2 linked regions of the Anolis sagrei genome follow. Each later gene encodes a partner of the first gene's protein in a complex. Links are inferred from orthologs where the notes say so. Each region holds a gene or a part of one and is shown in the gene's direction. Other genes may lie near its edges. The genes, in order: ATP2B1 and NPTN.

Region 1 (9,963 bases):
AAATACTCCAAACCCCTCCAAAGACCACTGCCTCTTAGGAAATGGGGTTATTTATACATCCAGAACCTGCCAATAGTGGTGTGCAGGCAGGCTTTAAACCAGACTATGAAGGCAAGCATGAAGCAATCCTATTGGTTGCCACTTGTATTGAGCCTAGAGATAATTAAAAAGAATAATAAGGGAGAAAGCATTTCCCCCTCCCTTCCTGGCTACTTTGCTAAAATGGCAGAAAGTGTGCTGACAGCTAGGAAAATGTCTGGTTTTTTTTTACAAGGGTCTTTTCATAAGTGAAGTCCTCTCGCCTTCCCCCTTTTCTCTTTCCCCTGTCAGGGTTACTTCAGGAGAGATGCAGCAGATGTTGGACTAGCCTCCTTTCCTTCATTCATACGTATTCCAAATGCCAAAACACCTGAAATCTGAAAAATGTATGGTCCCAAGCATTTCAGATAAGGGGGACCCTATCTGTATTTGTAACAGAGTTTCCTGGAGACTATGCTTCTTAGCATAGTGTACCTCCCCAGGAGACATTGCAAGAGGCATTTTGACTGTTAGAGACCCACTTAGCTCAGAAAAGGAGTAAATTACTTCATGTAGCAATTAATTATGGCAAACTATTCTTGCTGACAAGAAACTAACATGAAGACAGTAATCTCTACTCCCACCTTCTCAAGAGGAAAGCATTATGTGATAAACCCTTTTCTCTGCCCACCGTTGCAGGGTAATAAAGAAGTAATAAAAGAAGGCTGAGGCAACCTTGTCAAATTAATCTGATAGCACTTTTTCTTCCAGATTTTATAATATGATTACAAGTTCACATCAGAAATACTGAAGGGAATGTCTTTAAAAGTGCAGATGTATAAGCACTGTTTCTGTACTAAGCTTAAGAAAGGATTTGTACTGATTTGCACAACTAATCTCTACTATTTTTCTTAAATCTTACTTATTGGCAAGACATATACAGTTCTAGATTACTTGTTAAGATGAACTAAATAGGAGTAAAGTTTTGGCAATTAAGACTCCTGTGGCTATGGTTTCATTATCTGAATGTCTCTGTAGAGTTCTGCTACAAAATTCCTCACAATACAAATACATCACTTGATAGGAGTGGGGTTTACTGCATATAAAAACATATAGGATTTGTTTTTTGTTTCTACAATGTTCTACATTGTACTTAGATACATGGTAAACAAATTGCTTTAATCAATGTAGATCTGATCACTGAAAAGCAGCTCCAAAGTTTACTCTGTAACCTAAAATTGCCTTGTCAAAATGTGGAACAGCATATAACCAAAACTTACAGACTCCTCTATGGTGCAGGTAAATAATAATTCACCTTTATATTCAGGTTATGTCATTACATTTAAAGCCTCTTAAGAAGTCATCCTTTTACTTATGGCCTCTGGTAGAGAAATTATGTATGCCAATTATTTATCTTCTTTCTCTTTGAGGGAGTGGGTAAAAAGCTTAATTATTTCCATTATGTTCTATGGATTGCACAAAGACTGTCCCCATCACTATTTTAATCTGTTTGTCTACACTAGGATTCTCTATTGTCATTAAGAACAACTTCTAAAAGCACTATTGTTCAAACACTTAGCAATGTTTGTATCTTTCGCATTTGAACATGTCCACTGAAGCATGTGCATAAATACCTGCTAAATAAGTCAACATTTTATACTATAACATTTTATAAAATGGGCTGCTGTCCATAGAATCTTATGTCACATAAAAATGGTTAGCCTTTAAGTTGCCATCACACTCTTTGTTATTATTTCCAGTGGAAAGGAAAAAGAAAATATCTGGCAACTAGAAGATGTGAGTGGAACACATCTGCTTGAGTCAGAAAACTGTTTCTTCAAATGCAGTTTTCAAATGTTGGGGAAGGCTTGCTGAGTTACAATGGCCAGTACAAATGAGAACACCGAGCTGCAGAGGGATTGAAAAAGAATTTTGCATGATCTGAGGATGTATTTTATTCATACTGGGAAGGCATGCAAGAAAATCCCATAATTTAGTCTGCAGGATGCATCTGTTTCATTGTTTTGATTTTTTTCAATTGACCTAAATATATCAACTGTGAGGTAATACTTAGCTGCATTCAGTCAGGAAACGAATATTGCAGTGGTTCCTCCTGTCTGATTGCATTCTTCAATGAAAGACTTTTTAAAGTGTCAAACTTATGTCAAACAAGAGTGACAGAGCATGAGACCAAGCCAAACAAAGAATAATATAGCAATAATAACTGAACTGATAAGATCTTTTAGATTCATTTGTTTATAGGGACTCAGACCCTACAGCTCAGCAGAAGCTTGCCTTGCTCTTCCTTCACAGCACAATGGCCTTGAACAGTCACAGATGCCATATTGTATGTATAGATACAATGCAAAAGGAAATGGTCTAACTGAGGCCCAAGTCCAATTGAATTAGCCATCTTTAAACTCATTGGCCTCAATCCAATTAATTCTTGCTAGACATACTGACACAGTGGGAATTTAATAAAATACTAAAATAAGCTACATTAATTCAATGGGCCCACTTAAATTGGGATTAGCTATTGGATTTAGGCCACTGCAGTTTACAGGCTTAAGTATGCCTAACTGCACCAGACTCAGATTTATGATTGAACTGAAGAAGATAGGATGATAAGCTCAGAAAACAAAACAGCAGGTTTGTTTGGGCTTGCTCATCAACTTTTTAAATATTAGTTTTGATGTATGAACACATGCAACTTTGCTAGATTGTACATTACAGTTTTTTTTAGTTTCTTCTGTGTTGTTGCTGCTGCTGTTCTGAATTACTTATAAATTATGTCCACCCTAAAATGAACATGTCATGAGGATTTCTTGAAAAGATTTGTTCAAAGTGGGGTTGCCTTTCTCTGAGTTCAAGTTGATTTGTCCAAAGTCAGCAAGTGATTTTGATGGCTGAGCAAGCATCCAAACTCTGGTCTCCCAGAGTCCTAATACTATATTCATGTTAGCTCCCACATATTGATGTAAGACTAAGATTGAACCAGCCAGATGTCGTTGCGAGTTGGACTATCACTCTGAAGGCCAGGGTTCGAATCCCCATTTAGCCATGGAAATATATGAGATTGGTCACGTTACACTCTCTCAGCCTCAGAGGAAGGCAAAGGCAAGCCCCTCTAAACAATTTTTGCCAAGAACACTGTTAGGCAAAAGTAAAAAAATACTTGGAGGTACACAACAACCTGTTCTATGCTCTCTACTGGAATGTTTTCATTCTAGTTCACTATGAATCTGACAGATCAGTTTTGAACATTCAGGTAATTATTATCCATTCTCATATTGCCTAATGCCTAATTTAATAGGGAGTAGTGCTGGGTTTTTTTAGTGGCATTTCCCCTTCTTTTGCATTATCAGTAGGATCAAAGGGAATAAAGGATTTTAAAAAATATCAATAATACTTTCTTATATTTGATTGTATGACACAGCTCTTTCATTCATTTCTGTAATGAGAAAAAATATTCATATTCATATTTGTGAGAAACCATCTAATTTACCTGCAGAAAAACTTCTGCAGAAAAACATGAATATTTCAAAATGCAGTATTCTTTATATAAAACCGTGACTGCAAAAATTCATCTTATCCTTTAAGAAAATTAGGGATCTAAGGAGGTTTTGCTTAAGTACCAGAAGGCTAGGACTCGCTGAGAAACAATGTAAAATCACTATAGGAAGCATATGTTTTAACAAACTTACTCAATGAACTGCCAACACTTCTAGGTCAGATTGCAGGAGATACATCTGGTTACATCCCAAATAGTCTACTGCAACGCACTCTATGTTGGGTTGCCTTTTAAGACTGTTTGGAAGCTTCAAGTGGTCCAATGCCGGGAGGCAGACTGGGGTACAGGGAGCACACAACCCCATTACACCAGCTCCACTGGCTGCCAGTCTGCTACTGAGTGCTGGTTTTAGACTATAAAGCCCCAAACAGTTCTGGCCCAGCTTACGAGTCCGAATGTATCTTCCTCTATGAACCATTTCAGAGGTTAAGATTGTCCTGGGAGGCCCTGCTCTCAGTCCCAACTCCTTTGCAGGCACGACTGGTGGGGACTAAACGGTGCCTTCTCAGTGGTGGCCCCTCATCTGTGGAACTCCCTCTCCAACGAAATCAGATCTGTTCCTTCTCTCTTGATCTTCAGGAAAAAAACTCAAGATGTGGCTTTGGGACCAAGCTTTTGACAAATAATTAGAGCAGTGCAGTAAGAGACAACGAATCAATCTGATTGACAAATGGAATGGCCCTGGATTATATTTCGGATGGCGCGATTTTAATTAATGCTTTAATTATTCCTGTTTTAATTTTTTGGTTTTAATTGTAATGGTTTATTTGTTATATGTTCTGTATGGCATTGAATTGCTGCCTGTTGTAAGGCCACCTTGAGTCCCCTCTGCAGTGAGAAAGGCGGGATACAAATATGGTAAATAAATAAAAATAAATCTGATGAAGTAGCTTCGTTCTCCCTAAGCACAAGTTGAGGCCTTTTATCTGTTACCTTCCCACAGAGCGGTACCTATTGATCTACTCACATTTGATGTATTGTCGAATGTGCGGAATCACTGGGTTGTTGTAGGTTTTACGGGCTGTATGGCCATGTTCTAGAAGCATTCTCTCCTGATGTTTTGCCTGTATCTGTGGCAAGCATCCTCACAACCTCTGAGGATGCTTGCCAGAGATGCAGGCAAAACTCCAATAGAGAATGCTTCTAGAACATGGCCATACAACTCGAAAAACCTATAACAACCTACTCACGTTTGCATGTTTTTGGATTGCAGGGTTGGCAGAAGCTGGGCCTAACAGCAGGAGCTCATCCTGCTCCCCGGATTCAAACCACCGACCTTTCGGTCAGCAATACGTGCCACCGGGGCCATGTGTGTGGGTGTATACATATATGCAAAATATGAGTGAAAAATCCCAAACACTTCTGGTTCCAAACCTTTGGGGAGAACCCCAGAATTGAGTGTTTTTACTGTTCAGTGGCGTCTCTGAGTGTAAACGGTTACGCTTCTCACTGACGTTGCTGGGCATTAAACCTGCCTGACAGTGCACCCACACTGTCGAATTAATGCTGTTTGACACCACTTGGAAGACCTTAAGCGGCTGAGAGGGGAAAGGAAGGGGCCTGAGTCTGAGAGGAATGGTGGGAGTTGAAGTCCAAAACACCTGGAGGGAGTGAGGGAGGGAGGGCCCAAGTCTGCCCATGCCTGACGTAGACGGACCCTGAACGAGGCTGGCTCCAGCAGGCTGCCCTCCGCGGGGTTCTTACGTCCTACTCGGGAAGGCGAGGCCATGACTCAACACGCCGCGATTCGTCATCTCGGTTCTGACGGAGGGGAGACGCCAGCTGCTCCCCCCGCGCGATGGGGTGGGTGGGGGGAGAAGGGAAGCTCCTCCGTTTCCTTCAGGGAGGCCTGAGGGGGAAGGAGCCCCCAAGCCCTGTCTTTGCCCCTCCCCCACCCCTTCTTGCGTGCTGACAGGAGCTGCCGCCGCCGTGCTTTTCAGGGATTTGCGCGTTTGTAGTCGTTTGACCCCGAAGGCTTTCCGTCCACGAAGTGACCAACTCCTACCTTCCTCCCCCCCCCCCCCGTCCACCCACCCCGCGCGCCCTCATATGAGCACGCGCGCGCTGATAGAAACCGACGGCGCGCTCTGCTGGCGAGCGTTCCCCGCTCTTGCCGTGGGGCGGGGGCGAGTGGGAGCGTGGTCAAGCCACGGCAAAGGAGCGAGAGAGAGAGAGAGAGACAAGGAGGGAGAGCGCCCCCCTCACCGCGCTCCCAGCAAAGTCAACGACCCGAAGCCCGCCGGGCCCCATCAAATGCCTGGGCCCGGCCCACTGACGTCATGGAAACAAGCACGTCAGGCGACGGCAGCCAATCGGAAGAGGGGAAGGAGGCGGGGAGAGAGGAGCGGGCCCCGCCCCTCTCGGGCACCAATCCCAAACCCCGCCCCTTTCGCTCGCGCTCTCTCTCTCTCTCTCTCGCTCCCCCGCCCCTCCTCCTCCTCCTCTCTCCTCACGCCCTCGAGGGGCTCCCTCCTCCGCCGACCCTGTCACGTGACGCCGACTGGGCCACGCTCGGAACCTTGCCTGAGGTGGGCGAAGAAGAAAAAAAAACAGAGGCGCAGAAGTGAGTGGAGTGGGTTGGAGCGACCCCTTGTTCCCCTTGCGCGTGGGAGGTGGAGGTAGAGGTGGCCCCGCCCCCCTTTGGTGGCTGGAGGCGGCGAGGAAGAGCCGGCGCTTCTGTACGGGTCCTGAGAGGGGGGCAAAAGGACGCCGCCTCGCAGGGCTGGCGAGGGCGAGGCGGAGGCGCTTTGGCGGGGGAGCCTGCTGCCGAGGGCGGGGCCTTCCTCTCTCCTCCCTCCCTCCTCCGCCCGCCCTCCCTCCCCGGTCGCAGGCGGGCTCGGCGGCGGCGGCGGCTCGGGCGCTCGCTCCGGGGTGGGGTGGGGGGGACCTGCGGTTGGTTGGTTGCTTGTTTGGTCGGGCGAGGCGAGGCAAGGCAAGGCGAAGCAGCGCGTGGAGGAACCTGAGGTAAGCATGGCTGAGGCGAAGGGAGAGGAAGGGCGCGGAGGGCGGCGTCGGGTTGGGGCTCCCTCGGAGACACAGAGAGAGAGAGAGGCGCAGGTGGTGGAGTCCGCAGGCCCCGCGGGGATTAGCCAAAGCGGAGGAGGAGGAGGAGGAGGATGAGCAGCCCCCGCCGGTGCAGCAGGGCCTGCGCCTCCTCGCCTCTCCCCACCGCCTCCTCTTCCTCTTCCTCAGTGGGCCACGGGGAGCCCACGCCGCGGTGTGTGACCTTGAGGGCAGCCACTTGCCTCCACCTGGAAGGAGGGAGGAAGGGAACGGAGGGAGAGGAAGGAAGGGGGAATGGATGTGGGGACTGGTAGGTTGCCCTTTCTGGTCTCCCCAACCAACCCCCCTTTTTAACCCCCCTCCCCCTCCCCAGGTGCGCATTATTTTTCCTCTTCGGAAGACCCCCGCCGGTGAAGGTGTTTCTTGGGTCTGCTGGGTTAAGTAGCCGGGATTAGGCGGACGCTGCTGCACGGCATTCTCATCCCCAACAGCCTCGGGAGTTTATTATATTCACATACACACGCACACAAACACACATATATGTATATATATAGAAAGAGCACACTCAGAAATTCCTGGTGTGTGGCTGTCGTCCACACATATGTACATATGTAAACGCGCGCACACAGCTGGGATTATATATTAGAGAGGAAACAGAAATGGTGTGTGTGTGTGTATGTATGTATAGACAGATAGATACTACCTGTACACATGTAAATACACGTAGCTGGGATTATATATTTGAGAGAGAACAGATAGAAATACCTTGTGTGTGTGTATATGTATGTATGTATATACCATCCAAACATATCTACAGGATTACTAGAGAGAGAGAGAGAACAACCTGCTGTTTGTGTATATATGTAGTGCCTGTACATAGGTAAATACACACACATAGCTGGAATCATATATTAGCGAGAAAACACATAGAAATACCTGGGGTGTGTGTATATAGCGCCCACACATATACATATGTAAATACACATAGCTGAGATTCTATATTGGAGAGAGAAAACACATAGAAATACCTGGTGTGTTTGTGTATAGCACCCACACATATGTATATGTGGAAGCACACATATAACTGGGATTATATATTAGAGAGAAAGCACATAGAAATACCTGGTGTGTGTGTGTGTGTGTATAGCACCCACACCTGTAAATATGTAAACACACACACATAGCTGAGATTCTATATTAGAGAGAGAAAACATGTAGAAATGCCTGGTGTGTGTGTGTGTGTGTGTATAGCACCCACACATATGTATATATGTAAACATATATATACCTGGGATTATATATTAGGGAGAGAGAGAACACATTGAAATCCCTGGTGTGTATGTATATTTAGCACATATATGTCATATATAAAGACACACACCACAGGGACTATACACACACACACATGCTTACATGCACACACAGTGTGTACATACAGTATCTCTCCTCCTATCCAGGAGCTAGACACTGGTTTTCTCAGCTGTGCATATAAAGGGTTCTGGAAATGGACGTCTGAGCCTTGAATTCAGGTCTCCAGGGCAGTCAGAATAAAGAGAAAGGGGTGGCTTTCCTCTCCCACCTTCTGAGCCTCTTGCGCCATCCACACTCAGGAAGGCATGAGAATAATTTTTAAAAGCAGGGGGATGGCTATGCTTCCCCTCTTTTCTGCATGACTACTCTCTCACTGGTTCGTCAAAGGGTTGATGTGCTTTATAAACTGGCTAAGTAAAACCCTGTGAGAATGCATGAGGTTGCAGTAAGTCTGTTTGCTGTGTGGAGGTATGCACATATGCGCGCCGAAGTGTATTGCTGTTATGAACTCTGATAAGGGATGTCAGCTGCGTCCCCAGATGAATGCAGCTTGGGCTAGGGAGTGTGTATCAGAACAGCTTTTGGGTGATGTATTCCTTTGGATCTCATGAGCCTCGTGTCTTTACTGCAGGCCAAGTGGTACTCCATACCTTTGGTTGTTTCAGCACCAGGAGTTCAGGAGGAAGGGAGTATGATGAGGGGTGAGGTGGAGAGTGACTGTTGCTGGCTGTACTTCATACTTCTCTCCAGCAGTGCCTATATAAAATGGTACTTGGAAGATGGCTAAATGAGAATACCTTCATACATTCATCTCATAAACAGCGGGCACATTTAACATTTAAGGCTGTGGTATTGGACAGCAACATTAATAGGAACTGATAAAAGTTGGGAGTGTCTGACCTTGGTGTTTCTAATATGTGTTGTAGCTCCTAATGTAAGAATTATACAGTTTCACTAAAACAAGGTAGGAAGTGCTTAGCTGAAATATTTCTCTCTTCTTGGCCTGTGCCTTTGATCCAAATATGTTTTAAAATGTTCTGAGTAGTTGTCATTTTGTCTGTGCCACAGGTCTTTTCATCTACTGAGAAAGGTAAATTTAAAAAGTATGAGCTATTATATGTGGAGTATAACAATGATTTCATTGACACACAGACTAACACATTTTATATTTTTCATTGTAAATAACTAATATCCAAATTTGGGTTGCTTGGCTTTTAAACAGTTGATGTAGCATAATGCATCTTATTTCTGTATACACACTTATTTTCCTTATACATGTCACTGTTATATTAGCCTTCACCCAGTTTGGAATTTTGGGATAAACAGAGGAAGACAATTGGACAGCTCTCCTGAACAAATATTGCAGAAACAACCTCTGTGATAGGGTCCAAAATTACTTGAAGGCACATGGCGATGACATAAATTAGCATGTAAAGTTCATGTGAACTATAAATACAAAATACTGCTATGTCATGAAAGGCGAATGCTCTAGATATGTTCTGCAATGTATCTTGTTGAGAAGCCTTTGAACGGTGTGGTACACAAACATAAGTTATTGACAATATATTTAAACTAATTGTGACTAGAAGGAATGCAAGCCTTCAGTCTATGTATGTGGAAAGGGATATCATAGGAACATGTATGTTCCAGAAGCACACACTTACAGCCATTATACTCATTAGGATCTAACCTTATACTGTGGCTAATAGTTGGAAATTGAAAGGAGTTTGAAATGTGTGCCAATAGAACATTATAATTATAATTTATACATTATAATTTATTTTGCTGCTCAGCAATAGCAAGACATTTTGGAATGAGGCAAAGTCAGTGTATAATAGCGAACAGTAAATTAAATATGTTTAAAATATAGGATATACTAGTCAGAAAAGAGATCTAACATCCTTTACCATGTAGGAGAATAGCTTTCAGGTTCTTTAAGGCTGTGGAGCAAGAGTAGTGAAGCTATTTATCGGTCATATCCAGGGCTAAACTGATAAATTCATCATGTCTGACAACTAGTATTCATGCCTCTTAACCTAAAGATGAAAGCTCTGTAATTA
Region 2 (9,351 bases), on another chromosome or scaffold:
CCAGTGGTTTTTGAGTTATGTTAATCCCACAAACGAACATTACATTTTTATTTATATATATTATTTTACTCTTATTATTTTACCGTATTTACTATTGTTTTATTCCATTTATTGTTTTACTCTTAATATTACATTTATTATTTTACTCTATTATTATTGGAAGGATGTGTAAGTACATTTACATTGAAGAAGGTGAGAATAATGGTTTCATCAGAGTTGGACAGTCTTAAGGTGAGAATAATGGTTTCATCAGAATCGGACAGTCTTAAATTAGTTTTATGTAAATATTCAACCTACTGATGCCTATTTTTTGAATATAACCTACTGATGCCTCAATATATATATATGTCCTTTTATATATATATTCTTTTATATATATATTCTTTTATATATATATTCTTTTATTACATTCACCAAAAAATTCAATGAAAAGTATTTTAAAAAATAACATAATTTTATTGGTATCTCTTTTTATTTTGAAATTGACCAGTAGCTGCTGCATTTCTCACCCTGGGCTGATACTCAAATCAATATGTTTTCCCAGAGTTTTGTGGTAAAATTAGGTGCCTCGGCTTATATTCGGGTCAGCTTATACTCAAGTATATACGGTATATCCACATTAAAATCGGTTGTTTAAAAACTATCTCAGGACACCCTTTTGCCTCCTTGCCCTGCCCCAAAGGCCAGGCCTTCACTACCCTTCTGAAGGATAGGAGAGAGGGGGCTGATCTCATATTGCCAAGAAGGAAGTTCCATAACCGGGGGGCAATCACTGAGAAGGCCCTGCCACTCGTCCCCACCAAACGCACCTGTGATAGTGATGGGACTGAGAGCAGTTCCTCCACACAAGATCTTAGTTTCCACAGTGGTTCAAAAAGGGAAATGCGTTCGGACAGGTAAACAGGTCCGAGGCCATTTAGGGCTTAATAGGCCAAAGCCAGCACTTTGAAATGTGCCCGCTAGCAAACCGGCAGCCATTGGAGCTGACGCAACATGGAAGTTGTATGCTCCCTGTATGCCGCCCTAGTTATTAACCTGGCTGCCTTTCATTTGACTAGTTGAAGCTTCCAAACAGTCTTCAAGGGCAACTACATGTAGAATGCATTGCGGTAATCTATCCTGGATGTAATGAGAGCATGGACCACCGCGGCCAAAGCTGACTTCGCAAGGTGCTGGCGCACAGGTTTTAATTGTGCGAAACTCCCCTCAGCCACCACCACAAACTGAGACTCCAGGCTTGGCGATAAATCCAGGAGGACCCCCAAACTGTCTTCAAGGGGAGTGTAACCCCATCCAGCCCAGGCTGAGACCCTTAACTTTGTTCGGTCTTGCGACTGACCAGGGGTGCCTCTATCTTGTCTGGATTCAACTTCAGTTTGTTCGCCCTCATCCAGACTGTCACAGCGGCCGGGCACCAGTTCAGGACCTGGACAGCCTCCTTAGCATCTACTGGAAAAGGAGTAATAGAGTTGGATATCATCTGCATACAGATACCATCGAACTCCAAAACCCCCAATAATCTCACCCAATGGCTTCATGTAGATGTTAAACAACATGGGGGACAATACTCTATCCTGCGAGACACCACAGAACAATGGCTGTGGGTAATAAACAGGTTGAGTATCTCAGTTCTTGTGGGTTTTTTCGGGCTATATGGCCATGTTCTAGAGGCATTTCTCCTGACGTTTCGCCTGCATCTATGGCAAGCATCCTCAGAGGTAGAGGTCTGTTGGAATTAGGACAATGGGTTTATATATCTGTGGAATGGCTGGGGTGGGGCAAGGAGTTCTTCCCTGCTGCAGTTAGGTGTGAATGTTTAGCTAATCACCTTCATTAGCATTTGAAGGCCTGCCTGAACCTGGGAAAATCTGTTGCTGGGAGGTGTTAATCTGTGCCTGGTTTCTTCCTCTCTGTTGTTTAGCTGTTATAATTTTAGAGTTCTTTAATACTGGTAGCCAGATTTTGTTCATTTTCATGGTTTCCTCCTTTCTGTTGAAATTGTCCACATGCTTCTTGTGGATTTCAATGGCTTCTCTGTGTAGTCTGACATGGTGGCTGTGAGAGTGGTCCAGCATTTCTGTGTTCTCAAATAATATGCTGTGTCCAGGCTGGTTCATCAGGTGCTCTGCTATGGCTGACTTCTCTGGTTGAAGTAGTCTGCAGTGCCTTTCATGTTCCTTGATGCGTGTCTGGGCGCTAGGTTGAGTATCCCTTATCCAAAATTCTTGGTACCAGAAGTGTAGGGGTGCCTCTACGTTGTAGAATTAATGCAATTTTTCACTACTTTACCTGTCTTGGTTCAATTCTATGCAACCATGGGAGTCGTAGTTTACAAGGTCTTTGTTGCCTCGCCAAACTACAAATCCCAGGATGCCAGAGCATTGAGCCGATACAAAGAAAGCCATGTCGAACTGCATCAGTTTGGGGGATTTTGGAATGCCTGTATTTATATATGTTCCTGTACAGCAGGGACTTGGAGTACGTAATCCTTGCAGTCCTTTCCAAAGCTTTCATTCTGCTATACTATGCAGTCCTATCAATTCCTCATACAGGAATATTTCTCTTTCTTTTGCTCAGCATATTATTTCAAGTGTGAATCCTCTCCTCTGAACTCAAGGAGCCCATCTGCGCCACCTGCTGTTGGATTCTGATTTAGCCCAAATATATATCTGTAACTCAAAAGATGCATCTACACCGGATAATTAATGCAGTTTGACAGCACTTCAACTGCTATGGCTCAATGCTACCGAATCCTGGAAGTTACAGTTTGGTGTGGCTCCTGTACTCTTTAACAGAGAAGGCTAATAATAATAATAACAACAACAACAACAACCACCACCACCACCACTACCACCAGAACAAATGCAGTTAAGGTCAGAATTGAAAAATCAGCAGATGACTCAAAATGCAGACTGTGCAAGGAAGCTGATGAAACCATGGATCATCTCCACAACTGCTGCAAGAAAATTGCACAGACGGACTACAAACAGAGGCACAACTCTGTGGGCCAAATGATTCACTGGAACTAATGTCACAAGTACCACCTGCCAGGAGTCAAGAACTGGTAAAGGGATCATCAACCTACAAAGGGAGTGGAAAATGAACACGCAAAAATACTGTTGGACTTTTGAATCCAGACTGACAAAGTTTTGGAACACAACACGCCAGACATCACGATTGTGGAAAAGAAAAAAGTCTGGATGATTGATGTCGCCATACCGGGTGACAGTCGCATTGAGGAAAAGCAACAGGAAAAACTCAGCCGCTATCAAGACCTTAAAATCGAACTGCAAAGGCTCTGGCATAAACCAGTCCAGGTGGTCCCAGTGGTCACTGGCACACTCGGTGCATACTAATACGAATATAATACATATAATGTGTAATGTAATACTAATAATACATACTAATACTAGTATAATTCATATTATATGGAATGTAATACTAATAGCACATACTAATACGAATATAATACATTTAATATGGAATGTAATACTAATAATGCATATTAATACTAATATACATATAATATGGAATGTCATACTAATAATACATACTAATACTAGTATAATACATATAATATGGAATGTAACACTTATAATTCATACCAGTACTAATATAATACATTTAATATGGAATATAATTCTCATAATACATATAAATATGAATATAATGCATATAATAAGGAATGTAATACTAATAATACATAGTAATGCTAATATAATACATATAATATGGAATGTAATACTAATAATACATACCAATACTAATATAATACATTTAATATGGAATATAATTCTCATAATACATATAAATATGAATATAATACATATAATATGGAATGTAATACTAATAATTCATACTAATATGAATATAATACATATAATATGGAATGTAATACTAATAATACATACCAATACTAATATAATGCATTTAATATGGAATATAATTCTCATAATACATATAAATATGAATATAATACATATAATATGGAATGTAACACTAATAATTCATACTAATATGAATATAATACATATAATATGGAATGTAATACTAATACAAACTAATGCTAATATAATACATATAATAGGTAATGTAATACTAATAATATATAATAATACAAATATAATTCATTTAATATGGAATGTAATACTAATACATACTAATGCTAATATAATACATATAAGTAATAATACATACTAATAGTAGTATAATACATATAATAGGTAATGTAATACTAATTATATATACAAATGGTAATAATACATACATACTAATACTAATGAGAATATGAATATAATATATATATTATGGAATGTAATACTAATAATACATAGTAATACAAATATAATACATTTAATATGGAATGTAATAGTAATAATTCATACTAATGCTAATACAATACATATAATAGGTAATGCAACACTCATAATACAAATACTAATATAATACATAAAATCTACAATGTAATACTAATAAAAATACATAGCAGAGGTAATAATGCATGTGTATGACAGTGCAGCCCCATGTAATGCTGCTTAACTGCCTTGCAGTGCATTCTTGGTGTCTACAATGAGCATCTAATGCAGTGTAAGGGGGGGAATCTCGGATCCGTTTTAGATCAACCCGGATTTTTCGCATTCCAAAAAAAAAGAAGAAGAAGCCTTGAACCCGCATTGCTGAAGGAGCTGTCACGTGACACGGTGAGGCTGGGCGGGCGGGAGAGGGCGAGAAGGGGCGTGGCTTCCCCTGGCCAGGCCCCGCCCCCTTCCTCCTCCTCCTTCTCCCGCATCTCCTTATTCCTTTATTTATTTATTGGATGGTGTTGGTGCTTCTCGCGAGAGGTGGGGGCGCAGTTCTCGCGAGGCTCCGGCGCTGCGGTAGAACAGCCCTGAGGGGGAGAGCGGGCGCCTCTCTTTCCTTGGCTCCTCGCCTTCCTCCTTCTCGCCTTCTCCGGCGTCGTCCTTTCCAGCCTCCCGATGATGATGATGATGCAGCGGCGGCGGCGATGCGGGCCGCTCCCGGCGGCTCTCTCCTTCCTCTTGGCGACGGCAGGCAGCCTTTTCCCGACGCCGACCGGCGCCCAGAACGGTGAGGGAGGGAAAGAAGGAAGGCAGGAGAGAGAGGCGGCCATGGCGGGGAGGGCCTCTCTGAGGGGGTGATTGACAGGCGCTGGCGGGGGAGGAGGCGGGCCTTGAGGGGAGGTCAGGGCGCCCCTTTGGGGACCCCACCAAGGGGAGTCTGGGGAAGCCCTCCACATTGTGACTTTGCCCCCAAGGAGACTGGCATGATTCATATTATATAATGCTATGTATGGGTCGCTCTGAGTGTTCCCAGCTGCCTGGCTATATTTCCAGAAGCATTCTCTCCTGACATTTCGCCCACATTTATGGCAGGCATCCCCCCCCCCCCCAGAGGTTGTTCTGTTCCGCTGGAGGCAAGTGTGAATTCATTGGCATTGAATGGCCTTGCAGGTTCAAAGCCTGGCTGCTCCCTGCCTGGGGGAATCCTTTGTGTCAGGAGGTGTTAGCTGGCCCTGATTGTTTCTTCCTGCCCAGGCATGTTTTTCGGGCTATATGGCCATATTTCCAGAAGCATTCTCTCCTGATGTTTCGTCTGCATCTACAGCAAGCATCCTCAGAGGTTGTTCTGCTGGAGGCAAGTGTGAATGTTGGTCAGCTTGATTGGCATTGAATGGCCTTGCAGGTTCAAAGCCTGGCTCCTTCCTGCCTGGGGGAATCCTTTTTGCCAGGAGGTGTTAGCTGGCCCTGATTGTTTCTGAATGGCCTTGCAGGTTCAAAGCCTGGCTGCTTCCTGCCTGGGGGAATCCTTTTTGTCGCAAGGTGTTAGCCAGCCCTGATTGTTTCTGAATGGCCTTGCAGGTTCAAAGCCTGGCTGCTTCCTGCCTGAGGGAATCCTTTTTGTCGCAAAGTGTTAGCTGGCCCTGATTGTTTCTGAATGTCCTTGCAGGTTCAAAGCCTGGCTGCTTCCTGCCTGGGGGAATCCTTTTTGTCACAAGATGTTAGCTGGCCCTGATTGTTTCTGAATGGCCTTGCAGGTTCAAAGCCTGGCTGCTTCCTGCCTGGGGGAATCCTTTTTGTCGCAAGGTGTTAGCCAGCCCTGATTGTTTCTGAATGGCCTTGCAGGTTCAAAGCCTGGCTGCTTCCTGCCTGAGTGAATTCTTTTTGTCGCAAAGTGTTAGCTGGCCCTGATTGTTTCTGAATGTCCTTGCAGGTTCAAAACCTGGCTCCTTCCTGCCTGGGGGAATCCTTTTTGTCGCAAGGTGTTAGCCGGCCCTGATTGTTTCTGAATGGCCTTGCAGGTTCAAAGCCTGGCTGCTTCCTGCCTGGGGGAATCCTTTTTGTCAGGAGGTGTTAGCTGGCCCTCATTGTTTCTTCCTGCCCAGGCATGTTTTTCGGACTATATGGCCATATTCTAGAAGCATTCTCTCCTGATGTTTCACCTGCATCTACAGCAAGCATTCTCAGAGGCTGTGAGTTCTAGAATATGGCCATATAGCCCGAAAAACATGCCTGGGCAGGAAGAAACAATGAGGGCCAGCTAACACCTTCCGACAAAAAGGATTCCCCCAGGCAGGAAGCAGCCAGGAGGCAAGTGTGAATGTTGGAATTGGTCAGCTTGATTGGCATTGAATGGCCTTGCAGGTTCAAAGCCTGGCTGCTTCCTGCCTGGGGGAATCCTTTTTGTCAGGAGGTGTTAGCTGGCCCTCATTGTTTCTTCCTGCCCAGGCATGTTTTTCAGGCTATAGCCATATTTCCAGAAGCATTCTCTCCTGACGTTTCGCCCACATTTATGGCAGGCACCCCCCCCCCCCCAGAGGTTGTTCTGTTCTGCTGGAGCCAAGTGTGAATTGATTGGCATTGAATGGCCTTGCAGGTTCAAAGCCTGGCTGCTTCCTGCCTGGGGGAATCCTTTTTGTCGCAAGGTGTTAGCTGGCCCTGATTGTTTCTTCCTGCCCAGGCATGTAGACGGGAAGGGGGGGGGGCTTGAGGGTCTTCAAACCCCCCCCCCCCCAATTTATTTATTTATTATTAATTTGGCAGTGTTGTATACCGGTCTTCTCATATATATTTATATATATATATTTCCAGAAGCATTCTCTCCTGACGTTTCGCCCACATCTATGGCAGGCATCCCCCTCAGAGGTTGTAATGTTAGAGGCAAGGGTGAATGTTGGTCATCTTGATTGGCATTGAATGGCCTTGCAGGTTCAAAGCCTGGCTCCTTCCTGCCTGGGGGAATCCTTTTTGTCAGGAGGTTTTAGCTGGCCCTGATTGTTTCTTCCTGCCCAGGCATGTTTTTCGGGCTATATCGCCATATTCTAGAAGCATTCTCTCCTGACGTTTCGCCCACATTTATGGCAGGCATCCCCCTCAGAGGTTGTTCTGTTCTGCTGGAGGCAAGTGTGAATTGATTGGCATTGAATGGCATTGAATGGCCTTGCAGGTTCAAAGCCTGGCTGCTTCCTGCCTGGGGGAATCCTTTTTGTCGGGAGGTGTTAGCTGGCCCTGATTGTTTCTTCCTGCCACAAAAGCCTTAGTTCTAAATTTTTTATTTATTTATTTATTTCTCGTCTCAGGGCAGCCAGTATTACATTTCTAACAGAACAAAGCAAACAAACAGAGAAGATACAAAATGTGTGAGTTTGGTAGTTGATTAAATGTCCTTTGACCAGTCTCTGGCCACTTGGAGTGCTTCTGGTGTTGCTGCAAGAAGGTCCTCCATGGTGCATGTGGCTGGGCTAATCAATCAATTTTTTAATTTAATTTAATTTTTTAATTGATTAGCATTAAATTGTCTAGCTCAGGGGTCCTCAAACTTTTTAAACAGAGAGCCAGGTCACAATCCCTCAAACTGTTGGTGGGCAGGATTATAATTAGGAAAAAAATGAATGAATTCCTATGCGCAGTGCAGATATCTTATCTGTAGTGCAAAAAACACTTTAAAACAATACAATAATTAAAATGAAGAATAATTTTAACTAATATAAACTTATTAGTATTTCAATGGGATGTATAGGCCTGCTTTTGGCTGATGAGATAGGATTGTTGTTGGGTGCTTTCAAGACATTTCAGACTTAGGTTGACCCTGAGCGAGGGCCAGGTAAATGACCTTGGAGGGCCGCATCCGGCCCCTGGGCCTTAGTTTGAGGACCCCTGGTCTAGCTACAGTGGATCTCAACCTGTGGGCCCCTCCCCAGGAGTTTTGGCCTACAACTCCCAGAAATCCCAGCCAGTTTACCAGCTGTTAGGATTTCTGGGAGTTGAAGGCCAAAACACCTGGGAACTTATAGTTAAGAACCATTGAGACTCTAGCAGCTTTAAAGCCTGGCTGCTTCCTGCCTGTTTGAATTTCCTGTCTGGAATTCATAAAGGAAACCATGAAAATAAATAAAATAAACAAGGGTTGTTGTATGTTTTTCGGGCTATATGGCCATATTCTAGAAGCATTCTCTCCTGATGTTTCGCCTGCATCTACAGCAAGCATCCTCAGAGGTTGTGAGTTCTAGAACATGGCCATATAGCCTGAAAAACCTACACCAACCCAGTGATTCCAGCCATGAAAGCCTTCGACAAAATAAACATGATCTCAGGGTTGTTGAAGGCTTTCACGGCTGGAATCACTGGGTTGTTGTGTGTTTTCCAGGCTGTCTGGCCATATTTCCAGAAGCATTCTCTCCTGACGTTTTGCCTACATCTATGGCAGGCCTCTTCATAGGTTGTTCTGCTGAAGGCAGGTGTGGATGATGAAACTGGTCAGCTTAATTGACATTGAATGGTCTTGCAGCTTCAAAGCCTGGCTGCTTCCTGCCTGGGGGAATCCTTTGTCGGGAGGTGTTAGCTGGCGCTGATTGTTTCTTCCTGCTATGAAAGCCTTCTTTCTACATTTTTAATTGATTAGCATTAAATGCTCTAGCAGCTTTAAAGCCTGGCTGCTTTGTACCTGGGGGAATCTTTTGTTGGGAAGTGCTAGCTGGCCCTGATTATAGAATCATAGAGTTGGGAGATACCTAATTTATTTAATTATTTATTTACTGCATTTATATGCCGCCCTCCTCACCCCGAAGGGGACTCAGAGCAGCCTACAAGATAGATAGATAGATAGATAGATAGATACACACACACATATGTAATATATTATATTATTAGCATAATAATATAGTACTGATAGTACAATATCAGTATTATATTTACTATGTTATACTATACCGTTATATTGTAATATTATTAGTAATATTACATGTAATATAAAATATATGGTTATAATATTGTATTATTCTTATGGGCCATCCTGTCCAACCACTTGCAATGAAGCAGGAAAATTGCATTCAAA

Evidence for each region.
Region 2: the proteins of ATP2B1 (region 1) and NPTN are in contact, whole or in part, in a cryo-EM structure (PDB 6A69), measured with the Homo sapiens proteins. The link is inferred for Anolis sagrei from reciprocal best matches to the Homo sapiens genes ATP2B1 and NPTN. Residues at the interface, in NP_001353449.1 of Homo sapiens: Phe954, Asp955, Ile956, Asp957, Glu996, Arg997, Asn998, Val999, Glu1039, Gln1040, Leu1042, Trp1043, Ile1045, Phe1046, Met1049, Gly1050, Leu1052, Leu1053, Gln1056; in NP_036560.1 of Homo sapiens: Arg245, Ser246, Asn248, Arg332, Arg334, Pro339, Pro342, Phe343, Gly345, Ile346, Glu349, Ile350, Ile352, Leu353, Ile356, Ile357, Tyr360.

The regions. Positions count from the first base shown.
Region 1 is NC_090025.1:153,216,089-153,226,051, reverse strand, and holds the start of ATP2B1 (plasma membrane calcium-transporting ATPase 1), read left to right. Parts: upstream 1-5,986; 5' UTR 5,987-6,152; intron 6,153-6,448; exon of another isoform or gene 6,449-6,553; intron 6,554-9,963. UniProt on the Homo sapiens protein: Catalyzes the hydrolysis of ATP coupled with the transport of calcium from the cytoplasm to the extracellular space thereby maintaining intracellular calcium homeostasis.
Region 2 is NC_090029.1:30,879,445-30,888,795, forward strand, and holds the start of NPTN (neuroplastin), read left to right. Parts: upstream 1-4,837; 5' UTR 4,838-4,976; coding exon 4,977-5,088; intron 5,089-9,351. UniProt on the Homo sapiens protein: Probable homophilic and heterophilic cell adhesion molecule involved in long term potentiation at hippocampal excitatory synapses through activation of p38MAPK. May also regulate neurite outgrowth by activating the FGFR1 signaling pathway.